Linked DNA regions of Lonchura striata. The protein of the gene in region 1 purifies or fractionates together with the protein of each later gene. This does not show direct contact. Links are inferred from orthologs where the notes say so. Each region holds a gene or a part of one and is shown on either strand. Other genes may lie near its edges.

The links.
Region 2: the proteins of TSEN15 (region 1) and CLP1 purify together in Homo sapiens (affinity purification with mass spectrometry; 4 studies listed by BioGRID and IntAct, counting the BioPlex papers as one, with this or other methods). This does not show direct contact. The link is inferred for Lonchura striata from reciprocal best matches to the Homo sapiens genes TSEN15 and CLP1.
Region 3: the proteins of TSEN15 (region 1) and TSEN54 purify together in Homo sapiens (affinity purification with mass spectrometry; 4 studies listed by BioGRID and IntAct, counting the BioPlex papers as one, with this or other methods). This does not show direct contact. The link is inferred for Lonchura striata from reciprocal best matches to the Homo sapiens genes TSEN15 and TSEN54.

Annotation. Positions count from the first base shown.
Region 1 is NC_134611.1:27,829,156-27,832,898, reverse strand, and holds the start of TSEN15 (tRNA-splicing endonuclease subunit Sen15), read right to left. Parts: upstream 2,421-3,743; 5' UTR 2,414-2,420; coding exon 2,258-2,413; intron 1,802-2,257; coding exon 1,720-1,801; intron 423-1,719; coding exon 287-422; intron 1-286. UniProt on the Homo sapiens protein: Non-catalytic subunit of the tRNA-splicing endonuclease complex, a complex responsible for identification and cleavage of the splice sites in pre-tRNA. It cleaves pre-tRNA at the 5' and 3' splice sites to release the intron.
Region 2 is NC_134608.1:53,134,669-53,138,411, reverse strand, and holds CLP1 (polyribonucleotide 5'-hydroxyl-kinase Clp1), read left to right. Parts: upstream 1-1,218; 5' UTR 1,219-1,304; coding exon 1,305-1,910; intron 1,911-2,611; coding exon 2,612-3,283; 3' UTR 3,284-3,425; downstream 3,426-3,743. UniProt on the Homo sapiens protein: Polynucleotide kinase that can phosphorylate the 5'-hydroxyl groups of double-stranded RNA (dsRNA), single-stranded RNA (ssRNA), double-stranded DNA (dsDNA) and double-stranded DNA:RNA hybrids. dsRNA is phosphorylated more efficiently than dsDNA, and the RNA component of a DNA:RNA hybrid is phosphorylated more efficiently than the DNA component.
Region 3 is NC_134621.1:4,689,528-4,693,270, forward strand, and holds the start of TSEN54 (tRNA-splicing endonuclease subunit Sen54), read right to left. Parts: upstream 2,694-3,743; 5' UTR 2,678-2,693; coding exon 2,649-2,677; intron 2,465-2,648; coding exon 2,312-2,464; intron 1,247-2,311; coding exon 1,183-1,246; intron 1,043-1,182; coding exon 959-1,042; intron 1-958.

The DNA.
Region 1 (3,743 bases):
GTGTTTATCAGTGGGCATCAGTTTCTGCTTGACCTCCAAGAACCACTTCCAGACAGGCCAAGGCAGAGACTGATGCAAAGCTGAGGTCTCCTTAATGTTCCAAGCTGCCTGTGTGTCTGCAGAACCCAAAATAACTCTGCTTACGGGCTGAGAGGCTGCTTTCCTCTGATATTCCTCTATTTGCTCCTCCTTCCCCTCTTGACCAAGCCATCACCAGCCTGTAAAATGTTGCTGTGCTCCATTTTCTGTCAGTGGGAAGCCGAGACAAGCGCTGAGCACACCTCACCTGTCGTGGCTGATCAGGATGTGTGCAGGCACTGGCACCATCACCTGGAGCCCCTCCTGCTCTCTGGCCCGGGCATGCAAACACACCAGCTGCAGCTCTGCCACGCCCACCGGCTGCACCTCATGCCAGTTCCTCCCTGGAAAGGTCCGTTGGGGATGAGAGGGGCAGAACACAAAACACACGTTTTAATCAGTCAAATAACAAATGCAGTATCTAAGTTAACATCTAAGGTTTTGTTTTCCCTCCCTTTCTTCACAGAAAACTCCATTCATCTGCCAAACTCCCCTCCTGAGAAGCAATCCTGCTAAAGAAACCCAAGGAGCAGGAGCAGCCTGCTGGCTCCAGAGCTGCACTGATGGGTGGTGAAGTGAGCTGTCTGACAAAACTGCTCTGCAAAAGGCAAAAAGAAGATAAAACCACACAGCTTTAGTCATCTGACTCAGCACCCTGATCTGTGAAGCAGCAGGTGCTAAAAGCATGGTTAATGATCATACACAGTTCTCACCTCCTGCTGAAGGGATAAGGATGAAGCTTTTGCTGCTCAACTACAAAAATCTTCTTTTAAAGTCTATTAAGGCACTTCCTTCAGAGTTGTAACAGCAACAGACGCAGTAATTTCTGGACTGTAAAATCCCTCCCATCCCTGACCTTGAGAAACACCAGTCTCCAAGCAAAACTGAAATATTTTTCTTAGGCTGGCTGGCTGCCTACTCACAGCCCCTTTTCAATAAAGCCAACTTGGAAGAAGCCAGGCAGAAGTTTATATATCACATAACCCTGCTCCACTGTGAGCAGACACCAGCAGACTACACTGGATTTCACAGGACCATTTTGGCCAGAAAAGCTTTCCAAGATCATGGAGTCCCACCAGTGACCTGACACTGCCAGATCCTCCACCAAGCCATGGCCCTGAGCACAACACCTACAATTTATTGTATAAATTACTATATTGTTACACAATTACTACAATGGTTATTAGTTACTGCGACCACACTTGCAAATGATCTTTTTTGCTAGAGGAACCACTGCCCTTTCCAGAAAACAGGCCAGCACACAGCAGCCATGTGCTAAATGGTGACTTTAGTGAAACACAGTGATTGAGGAACTTCACTTTAATCTACAAGTGAGGACTATTAAAAGCTCAACCAGTGAATTTGCCACTTCACCTTCCTACATTCCTTTCCTCCCCCTACTCCTCTTTTGCTTTTCTTTCCATGCTGACTGCCTTTTCCCTGACCCTGCACCTGGAAGTGCTGGATGAAAGGGGCCCTCACCTTTGCACAGGCTCCAGGGAGGCAGAGGACAGAAACCTGAAGCACAAAAGGTCTCAAAAGTGGCACCAAGGACTTTGGAAGGAGAGGTCCTGTCCCAGTGCAAACAATGAATTTAACAGCTCCTAAGGGCATTGGGATCCAGTCACTGCCCCCACTTACCTTCCAAGAGGTCCAGGTATACCAAAAAGGCAGCGTAGACTTGAGTGCTGTCAGATACATCGAGTGACATCATTTCTGTGAACTGAGACCCAAAGAGGAATGTTGGTGATAAAAAAAGTAAGCAGAATAAACAAACACAAGAGGAGTCACCACTATTTCTGGAACAGCTCTAGCTTTGTAGAATTTTACCCATGTTGGGTAAATAATTCTACCCATTTCTGCTGCAACACATCAACATAAGATGATGGCCAAATTAAACACCTCCATGTTTTCGGTGTGGTAAAAAATGGAGTCGAAGTTTAAGGTATTTACATTTCCCAGCTGGGATCCCATGGTTTATAACCTCCGCCCCTGCTGGCAGTAGCATTCCCCAAATACTCCACCGGCCGAGCCCCCCTCGACAAACCCAATATAACAGATTATATGGGCATCTCCCCGCAGGGCCCTCCTGGGGAGAGCACCTCGAGAGCCGCGAGGGGAGAATCCTGCAGGGCCGGGCGGGGGAGCGGCACCCCCGAGGGACCCCGCGCCGGCCTACCGTGGGGTGAGCCGTGATCCAATTGCCGCCAGCCGCCCCCGACCAGCTGCCCTGTGCCCCCGGGCCCCTCCCGGCGGCGGAGGAGCCCTGGCCCGGATCGGTGCCCCCCGGGGCCGGGCAAACGCCGCTCCCGCCCGGCCCGGCCGCCGCCGCCATGCTCGCCCGCCCGTGTGCACCGCGGCTTCACTCCGGGCGGCGCCGCGCAGCTGCGCTCCCCGGAAACCGCCGCGCCGCCCCGACCGTTCCGCCTCCGCTCCGTTCCCACCTCCCCGCCCCGCCACCCGCCGCGGCCAAAGGCGCCGCTTTGAACCCTTCAAATTAAACATATGTATATAATATGTGTGTGTATAGACACATATATTCCTTTCAAGGTCCCTTCTCCCAAAAGCTCCAAAGCATTACCAACCTGCAATGTCCAGAGCTTTGCTAGACTGCATAAGGGACATGCCTTCAAGGTATTGCCATTAAAAGCACTTTGGACTGCTTTACTAGAAATATCTCTGACTTTGCCTAATGCCAAGTGTCCCAGCTCTGGCTTATCATCACCATCTGCCTCGGTGACTCTTCTGATAAATTTTAAACAGTGGCTATTCTCTGTGAGAACCCCGGCCTTGCTTTAGGGCCACATGTGGTGGTGAAATTCCTCCTCCAACCCGTGCTTCCAAAGAAAAACTCCGCAGGCTTTAGCTGTTCGGTCTCAAGGCAGTTTATTGCTAGTTATCTAACAGATTATGTTCTTGGACTGCGGCTATTTGATCAGCGGCCTGGGTAGAGGCACACACACACCCTGACATCCTCTCTATCTGCTGTCTTCTTCATCTCTCTCTCCGCCCAGGGTTGCTGCTATCTTTTATAAGATATATTACGTATAACATGTTTACAATTATTCCCCAATACCTACTACCTACGTTACCAAGTGTTTTTCTACTCTAAACCAATCTGTGAGTGCCAACATCACCAAGAACATGGAGGTAAGGAAGAAGAAGGAAGAAGGATGGGTTCAGCCCACTTTCCTCCATCTTAGAACTTCTGACCCCCATGTACAAAGTGAAAACCCCCCTGTACATGTGTTAAAACCCCCCTGTACAGTACTAAAAAAAATTCCCCTCTACTTTGTAACTACTTTTACTATACTATCTAACCCTTTGTGACTGCTTGTTCCACCTCCAAAGTTGGTAATTCATTCCATGGCTCAAACTCAAAATCACAGTTGTTTTTCAGTTGTCTGCCAGGGTCTAGAATGCTTCTGACCAAGGCCTGGAACCTCTAAAAATGTCTGAGAGACATTTTGAGTTCCCACAATTCTCTAATAAAGCATCAGTGAAAATTGGTCCATATGTATGTAACACATCAATTGTACGTGGTTTGCAGGCACAGGAAGTCATATTTGGGCCAATCTAATTCAAGGAATTTTGTGGTAAAAGGAGCAGCCATTCTGGCTGCTTAAAAAGTATGGTGTTAGCCAGCACTTCAGTTCCCTGGGCAC
Region 2 (3,743 bases), on another chromosome or scaffold:
GGGCAGCGCCCCGGGGGGCACCGCGCAGCCCCCGCACAGCCGCTCGCAGGGGAAGCAGCGCAGCAGCGCGCCCAGAGCCGCCGTCCCGCCCGGCTGGGCTCGGGGAGCTCCGCCGGGGCCCCCCGGCAGAAGGAGGTGGAAAAGGGGGGCGGCCTGCGAAGGAGGAAGGGGGGCGGTGAGGGGGGACCCCCTCCTCAGCGTGCCAGGTGTGGGCGCTGCACGAACCGAGCTGGCTGAGAGCGGAGTGACACCGGGGCAGCGGGGACACCGGGGGGGGGGCACCGGGGACCCGAGGGACTGCGGGAGGAGGGGGCGTCCCAAACTGGGTCTAGGGTCTCTTCTCGAAGCGTGGGGGTCCCCGGGGAGATGATGGGGGTCCTGAGGGGGAAAACTGCGGGTACCGAGCGGGGAGAATGGATGATGGGAGTCCCGACGGGAGATGATGGGGGTCCTCACGGGGTCGGTTGTGGGTCCCGGGAGGGATGGCGAGGGTCCCCGGGGGGCGGGAGGGTGCTGGGGAGATACTTGCGGTGGCGGTGAAGAAGGACGGGGATATCGCCGTGGGGAGGGGGCAATGTCAGGAGCGCTGGGGACACGACGGGGGGCTCGGCGGGGCTCCGGGGGTCTCGGGGGGACACGATGGGGGGTACCGGGTTCCGTGGCTTCCCGGGGGCCGGGGCCGCTCACCGCCCGGCGCTCTCCCCGCTCTCCCCGCTGCCGCTGTCCCCGGGGCGGGCGCGGGGGGGCCCTGCGTGCCCGGGAGCCGCATCACGGCACCGTGACTCATCCCGCGGCCGTGACGTCACCGCCCGCCACCGCCGCCGTGACGTCACCGCCCGGCCCTCCGACGTCAGCCCGGCCGCGGCCGCCGGGGCGCCTCCCGCTGCCTCCTGTCGCCCCGCGTCCCCGTGTGCTGCCTCGTCCCCAGTGTCCCTCCGTGTGCCCCTGTCCCCTCATGTCCCCGTGTCCCCGCCGTGAGATGTATATGGGGGGGGGCGGGTGTGCGCGTTAATGTCGTGCGAACGTCATGTAAACGATCCTGGGACTCATCCCGAGGGATGAAGGGGGGAGAGGGAGAGCCCCACTGTAATGAGATGCAAACTCGAGGAGGGGCCGCGGGCTATATGCAAATGAGATGCAAACTAGCCGCAGAACGGGCAGGACGTGCCCCCTCCCCCACGTGACCCCGGCGCCCCACGTGATCCAGGCAGCCCGCGCTCCCGGCGCGCCGCTCTGACGTCACTTCCGTCGCGGCGGCGGCTGCGGCCGGGGGACGCCAGGCCCGGGACCCCCGCGTCGCCGTCATGGCGGACGATGGCGGCGAGGAGAAGAAGCAGGTGGCCAAGTTCGAGCTGGAGCGGGAGACGGAGCTGCGGTTCGAGGTGGAGGCGGGGCAGACGGTGCAGCTGGAGCTGCTGACCGGCATGGCCGAGGTGTTCGGCACCGAGCTCACCCGCAACAAGAAGTTCACGTTCGACGCGGGCGCCAAGGTGGCCGTGTTCACGTGGCACGGCTGCACCGTGCAGCTCAGCGGCCGCACCGAGGTGGCCTACGTGTCGCGGGATACGCCGATGCTGCTGTACCTGAACACGCACACGGCGCTGGAGCAGATGCGGCGCCAGGCCGAGCGGGAGGACGAGCGCGGGCCCCGCGTCATGGTGGTGGGGCCCACCGACGTGGGCAAGACCACCGTGTGCCGCCTGCTGCTCAACTATGCCGTGCGCCTGGGCCGCCGGCCCACCTTCGTGGAGCTGGACGTGGGGCAGGGCTCGGTGTCCATCCCCGGCACCATGGGCGCGCTGTACATCGAGCGCCCGGCCGACGTGGAGGAGGGCTTCTCCCTGCAGGCCCCGCTCGTCTACCACTTCGGCTCCACCACGCCCGGCACCAACATCAAGCTCTACAACAAGGTGAGCACGGCGGGCTCGGCCTGGCTTGGGCACGGCCCCGGAACTCCCCGGGGTTTCCCTGTGCTGCGGGGCGTCTGAATGCCCGGGGTGCTGTGTGGGGACAGCAGAATGCCTTTTAAAAACAGCCAGCCACCCCTTCCCAGCTGTCGGGTCAGGGTGGGGAGGGAGTCCAGAGGAGGACACGAAGGTGATGAAGGGAGCTGGTGCACTTCCTCTGTGGAGACGGGCTGCGGCAGTTCAGCCTGGAGGAGGACAGTTTGTGCCCTGACTTCAGAGCAGTCTTTCCATCCTGGGAGCCTGCAGGGAAGCCGGAGAGGGATTCTTGTCAGGATCTGGAGTGGTACGATGGGGTGGAATGGGTTCACAGCGAGAGGAGACATTTAGTCTGGATATGAGAAGAAATTATTTTACTGTGAGGATGGTGAGGCCCTTCAGGGTTGCCTAGAGAGGCTGCGGCTGCCCCAGCCCTGGAAGTGCCCAAGGCCAGGCTGGATGGGGCTGGGAGGAACCTGGTCTGGTGGAAGGTGTCTCTGCCATAGGGAACTGGATGGGCTTTAAGATCCATTCCAAGCTAGACCATCCTACAATTCCACCATTTTGCTCTGGATGGCTGTGCGGAATTGAGGCCTTGAGGGTCCTGAAGGAGCTGGGGACAGCGTGGGGACACGGGTGCCTCTGTGTGACCCCTCCTCCTCCCACAGATCACGTCGTGCCTGGCCGACGTCTTCAACCAGCGCTGCGAGGTGAACCGGCGGGCGTCGGTGAGCGGCTGTGTCATCAACACCTGCGGCTGGGTCAAGAGCTCGGGCTACCAGGCGCTGGTGCACGCCGCCTCCGCCTTCGAGGTGGACGTGGTGGTGGTGCTGGACCAGGAGCGCCTCTACAACGAGCTCAAGCGGGACCTGCCCCACTTTGTGCGCACCGTGCTGCTGCCCAAGTCCGGCGGCGTGGTGGAGCGCTCCAAGGACTTCCGCCGGGAATGCCGGGACGAGCGCATCCGCGAGTACTTCTACGGTTTCCGCGGCTGCTTCTACCCGCACGCCTTCGACGTCAAGTTCTCCGACGTCAAGATCTACAAGGTGGGCGCGCCCACCATCCCGGACTCGTGCCTGCCGCTGGGAATGTCGCAGGAGGACAACCAGCTGAAGCTGGTGCCGGTGACGCCGGGGAGGGACATGGTGCACCACCTGCTGAGCGTCAGCACCGCCGACAGCCCCGACGACAACATCTCCGAGACCAGCGTGGCCGGCTTCATCGTGGTCACCGGTGTGGACCTGGAGCGCCAGGTCTTCACCGTGCTGTCCCCGGCTCCGCGCCCCCTCCCCAAGAACTTCCTGCTCATCATGGACATTCGCTTCATGGACCTCAAGTAGGGGAGGGACGGGATGTGCCCCCCGCCTCCTCCTTCTCCTTCTCCTCCTCTTCCTCCCTGAGCCCCCTCCTTGTCCCCCCAGCGCGGTGTGACCCTTTGGTTTTATACTTTTTGTACAGTTTGCTATTAAATCTGGAAGCCTTTGCCGCTGGTGAGCGTCTGCTGAGGGAGGGGTTCCCGAGGGGAGCGGGGATTGCCGGCCCGGGCTCCCCGCGCGCCGGGCCCGGTCCCGGCCGCCCCCTACGGCGCCCACTGTGGTACGTCCCGCGCACGCGCAGAGGCTCCGGCCGTGGCCCCGCCCACCGCGGCGTGAACGCGCACGCCCGCTCCTCTGCCATGCGCATGCGCGCCGCCGCGGCCGGGGCGGGCCGGCGGGAGGCGGCCAATGGAGGCGCGCGGGGGGGCGCGGTGCGCACGCGCGCGCGTGACGTCCCGCCCGCCGCAGCCGCCGCCGTCCGAGC
Region 3 (3,743 bases), on another chromosome or scaffold:
GCTCTCAGCTCCTGCTCCAGCATCTGTTCAGAGGATGCAGCTGGGAGCAAAATGCCCAGCTGCTAAAATAACCACTGCTTGGAGAGATAAATTAACTTTGATGATCTGAGTGATTCAGGATACAGCCCAACAACAAAAGCACTTATGACCAGCACAACTGAGAACTGGAGCAGAGGAATGAATGGCAGTTTCAGGTGGCATCAATTGGTGCCTCCTCAGAAGTATTTACTTCCTTTACAGACACAGAGATCCCATAGATAACTTTCCCAGGGAATAGCAAATGACCTCCAGGAGGCTGTTTTATGCTACACCTCTTTTTCCTCCTTTTTATATTTTTAAACGGTGTTTACTCATAAAGAAAACAAAACCCTAGAAACCTTTTCCATGCCATAGGCTGAAGGTATCTCACTGACCTTTTCTGCTTTTGGGGGCATTTTGTACTCAGCATCTGACTGATTTTTATTGCCATCAATTTGTTTACAAACTATTTATCAGAATGCCTGGGGTAAAAAAGCCCCATCTTTGCTGCCAAGATTTAAGAGATGGCATCAGACACTCACAATCTGTTTTGCTAAGGGATAAAAGTTCCCTTTAGATCAATGCACCAATTCTGGAAAGACCAAAAAAACCCCTCTCTACAGCAAAGAAATCCAGCTGAGCCTTATGCTGCATTTCTGCAAGCAGAGGAGCACTGAACACAATGTGGTCTCACTAGTCTGTCTGCCACAATTAAATTTATTTCTGCCATACATACTGGGAAGAAATCCCAATCAGCAGCCCCAAAGGTCTCTGCTTAAGATCAATGAGCTGGCCACAGATCCAACTAACACACTCGGTCAGTGACACAGGGGCTGCCTCAGAGTACGGAACCCATAGCCTGGTGACAAACAGGTCCATCAGCAACACACTAAAAGAGACAATTCCTTGTGAACCAGGTGTTATGCCTCATCCTACTTACACACTCCAGCAGGTACAGAGCTTCCTCGGGCAGCAGACATTGTTTGCCTCGTTCCGAGAACCCCATGGTGTGCCAGAACTTTCCCTGGAACAGGAGCACAAATCCCTGATGGGTTCTGGCTGTTCCCTAATGACAGCCAGGCTCCCTCCCTTTGCAAGAAGCAAATTAAAGAATCTGTGAGGCAGCAGGAGATGATGGCACTGAGCACACTCTGTAGCACTCACCGCAGGGGACTTCAGCTCCACAATGCCCTGCTCCGGTTTCCACTCAGCCTTCACCAGATTCCCCCTGAGAAGAATAAAGATTAGTTTGTTAACCCTGAGAAGGTTAAAGACTGAGGTTTGTTAACCCTGAGTAGGTTAAAGATTAGTTTGTTACTGTTAGTGTGGTCTACAGTCAGCTGCTGGTGTAGCAACACAAAACAAGCTCAGGAAGGTGTCAAAAAGGCAGGTTTCCAGGTGGCATTTTTACAAGGCTTTAGAAAGCCATCATCCTCTGGGTCTAGCAGCACACTTTATCATCACCAGCCAGTTAAAAGTGTCTTCAGTCAGCACCACAGAGACATGTCCACAGGCTACAGCAGCTTGCTGGAGATGCACAGCCTAAGCCAGGATATGTGGATATTGAGGAACTAACACAGGTTGCCCAGAGCAGCTGTGGCTGCCACATTGCTGTAAGTGTTCACAGCCAGGTTGGATGGGGCTCTGAGCAGTGGAAAGTGTCCTTGCCTATAGCAGGGAGTCCAATGGGGTGATCTTTAAGGTCCTTTCCAACCCAAACCATTCTGCGATTCTGTGTCATACAATTACTCGGTTGCTGCCAAGACATCCTCAAATCACTGTACCCCACCCATGGGAACTCACAGGGAAAAGTTAATAGTTGCAGGCCAAGCAGAGAAGGTGTACATTGAGAGGTGTGAATGTCTCCCAAGTGATAAGCACCAAAGTCTGGCAGCACTGTTGAACCCACCAAAACTGATAAACCAGGGACACTGACACCTGGTCAAATCTGCACAAGGCCACACAGGAGCATCAACAAGACACTCTGTAACTTGGATCATGCCCAAGGCGGCAGTGGCTCATACCTGCAAAGGTTACAGGATTATAGACGCACCTATAAAAACCAAGAGCCCTGTGAGGGACTTTCTGAAGCCACAGGTGTGCCACCATGTCCCTGCGCTCCTTCGGGGGCAGCCAGGCTGGTCGCACGGGCACTGAGTGGAGGAGAGCTGCGGGCGGCTTTACTGCGCTGACCAACACCTCCTGCTACCACATCTCGCTCCCACCCGTGACCCCGAGCTGCGCTCTGCCCGCACGGGGCAAAGCCATTCCCAGCTCCCAGGGATGGACTTACGGCCGCTCCGGGCGCTCCTCGCAGAGCAGCCGCCACTGCTCCTCGCAGCAGCGCCGCAGCCTCTCGGCCTGCCGGGCCGAGCCGTCGGGGAGCGAATCCTTCTGCCCGCGGGGGCTCCGCGGGGCCTGGCGAGCCTCGGGCTGCTCCGCCGTGCTGCGGGCGACAGCGGCGTGCTGAGGGGCGGCAGAGCGGACCGCGGCTCCCCCGGTACCGCCCTGGCGCCCGCATGGGTTCCGGTACTGCCTCCCCCATCCGCGATGCGCGGGCTCCCCGGGTGCTCCCGCGCCCTCCCGCAGCTCCGGTTCCCCGCCCCGCTTTCCCCTCCCGCCCGCCCCACCTGAGGCGGCGGGCCCCGCCGGCCTCCATGGGCACGCGCCGGGCCAGCGTCCTTCCGCCGCCGCGCGCGAGCGCCGCCCGGCGGGGCCGCGCCGCTAGCGCGCCCCCTGGCGGCCCGGAGGACCGGGCACCGGCAGGGAGCGGGGGGAAAAACAAACAGCTAAATTATTGCTAATTAATATTAGGTCCAGACTCGGATATCTGCTCTGTCCGCGGTTTCTGGGGAGAAGTGCAGCACCTGGAACACCCGTCCTTCCCTTCTTTCCCCCAACCATGCTGTCACAGGACCTTCTATCACGTTTTCCCCCTCCTCACTGCATTTTGCCCTTTCTTAAATACATTTCCCCAAAGAAAAACATTCTTAATTAATAAATTCTTAGTAATTATAATATAAATAATTCTTAAATTCTCACCAATTCTTAAAATCTTATCAATTCAATAAATTCTTCAGTACATTTCCCTAGCATCACTGACAGGCTGTGCCCTGCCATGGGTGTTGGAAGCACATGGGACCAGCCAGACCAGTCTGGAAGTGGCTGTGTCCTGCCCACTGGGGCAGGAGGATTGTCCCTTCAGTGGTGTCACTATTTCTCCTGGCTCAGGCTCCAGCAGTGGCTGGTGCCTTTGCTGGAGTGTGCAGCGATCCAGCGGGGCCTCACACCTCTGCCAGCATGGCTGGACTGGCTGCCAGGGAAGGCATGGACAGATCTGATGGGGAAACGCACCAAAAGTTCAAGTTTCACCTCAAACCCGTCTCCTGTTGCTGTGGGATATCTCACAGGAGGCACTGAGCCTCAAGTAGGAAAAACACAGCTTTTCTCCCCACTAGAATCCCTGGTTCCAGCTATGGTTTCCCAATAAAAGCCCTTTGAAAAGATGCCAACAAAAGGAGATGAATGTAAAAACCATTCCCTTCCATTTTCCATTTTAAATCATTGCAAATATTTAATTTTCGCTTCCGGCCTCATTATTTCCTCTCCCTGAATTGAGCCTTCACCTTGTGAGGGGGTCAAGTGATTTTGGCCAGCAGTGCCTCTCCATGGCACACGAGGAGACAAGGACCCCCCACCGAAGTTGTCCCCACCTCAAACTTGTG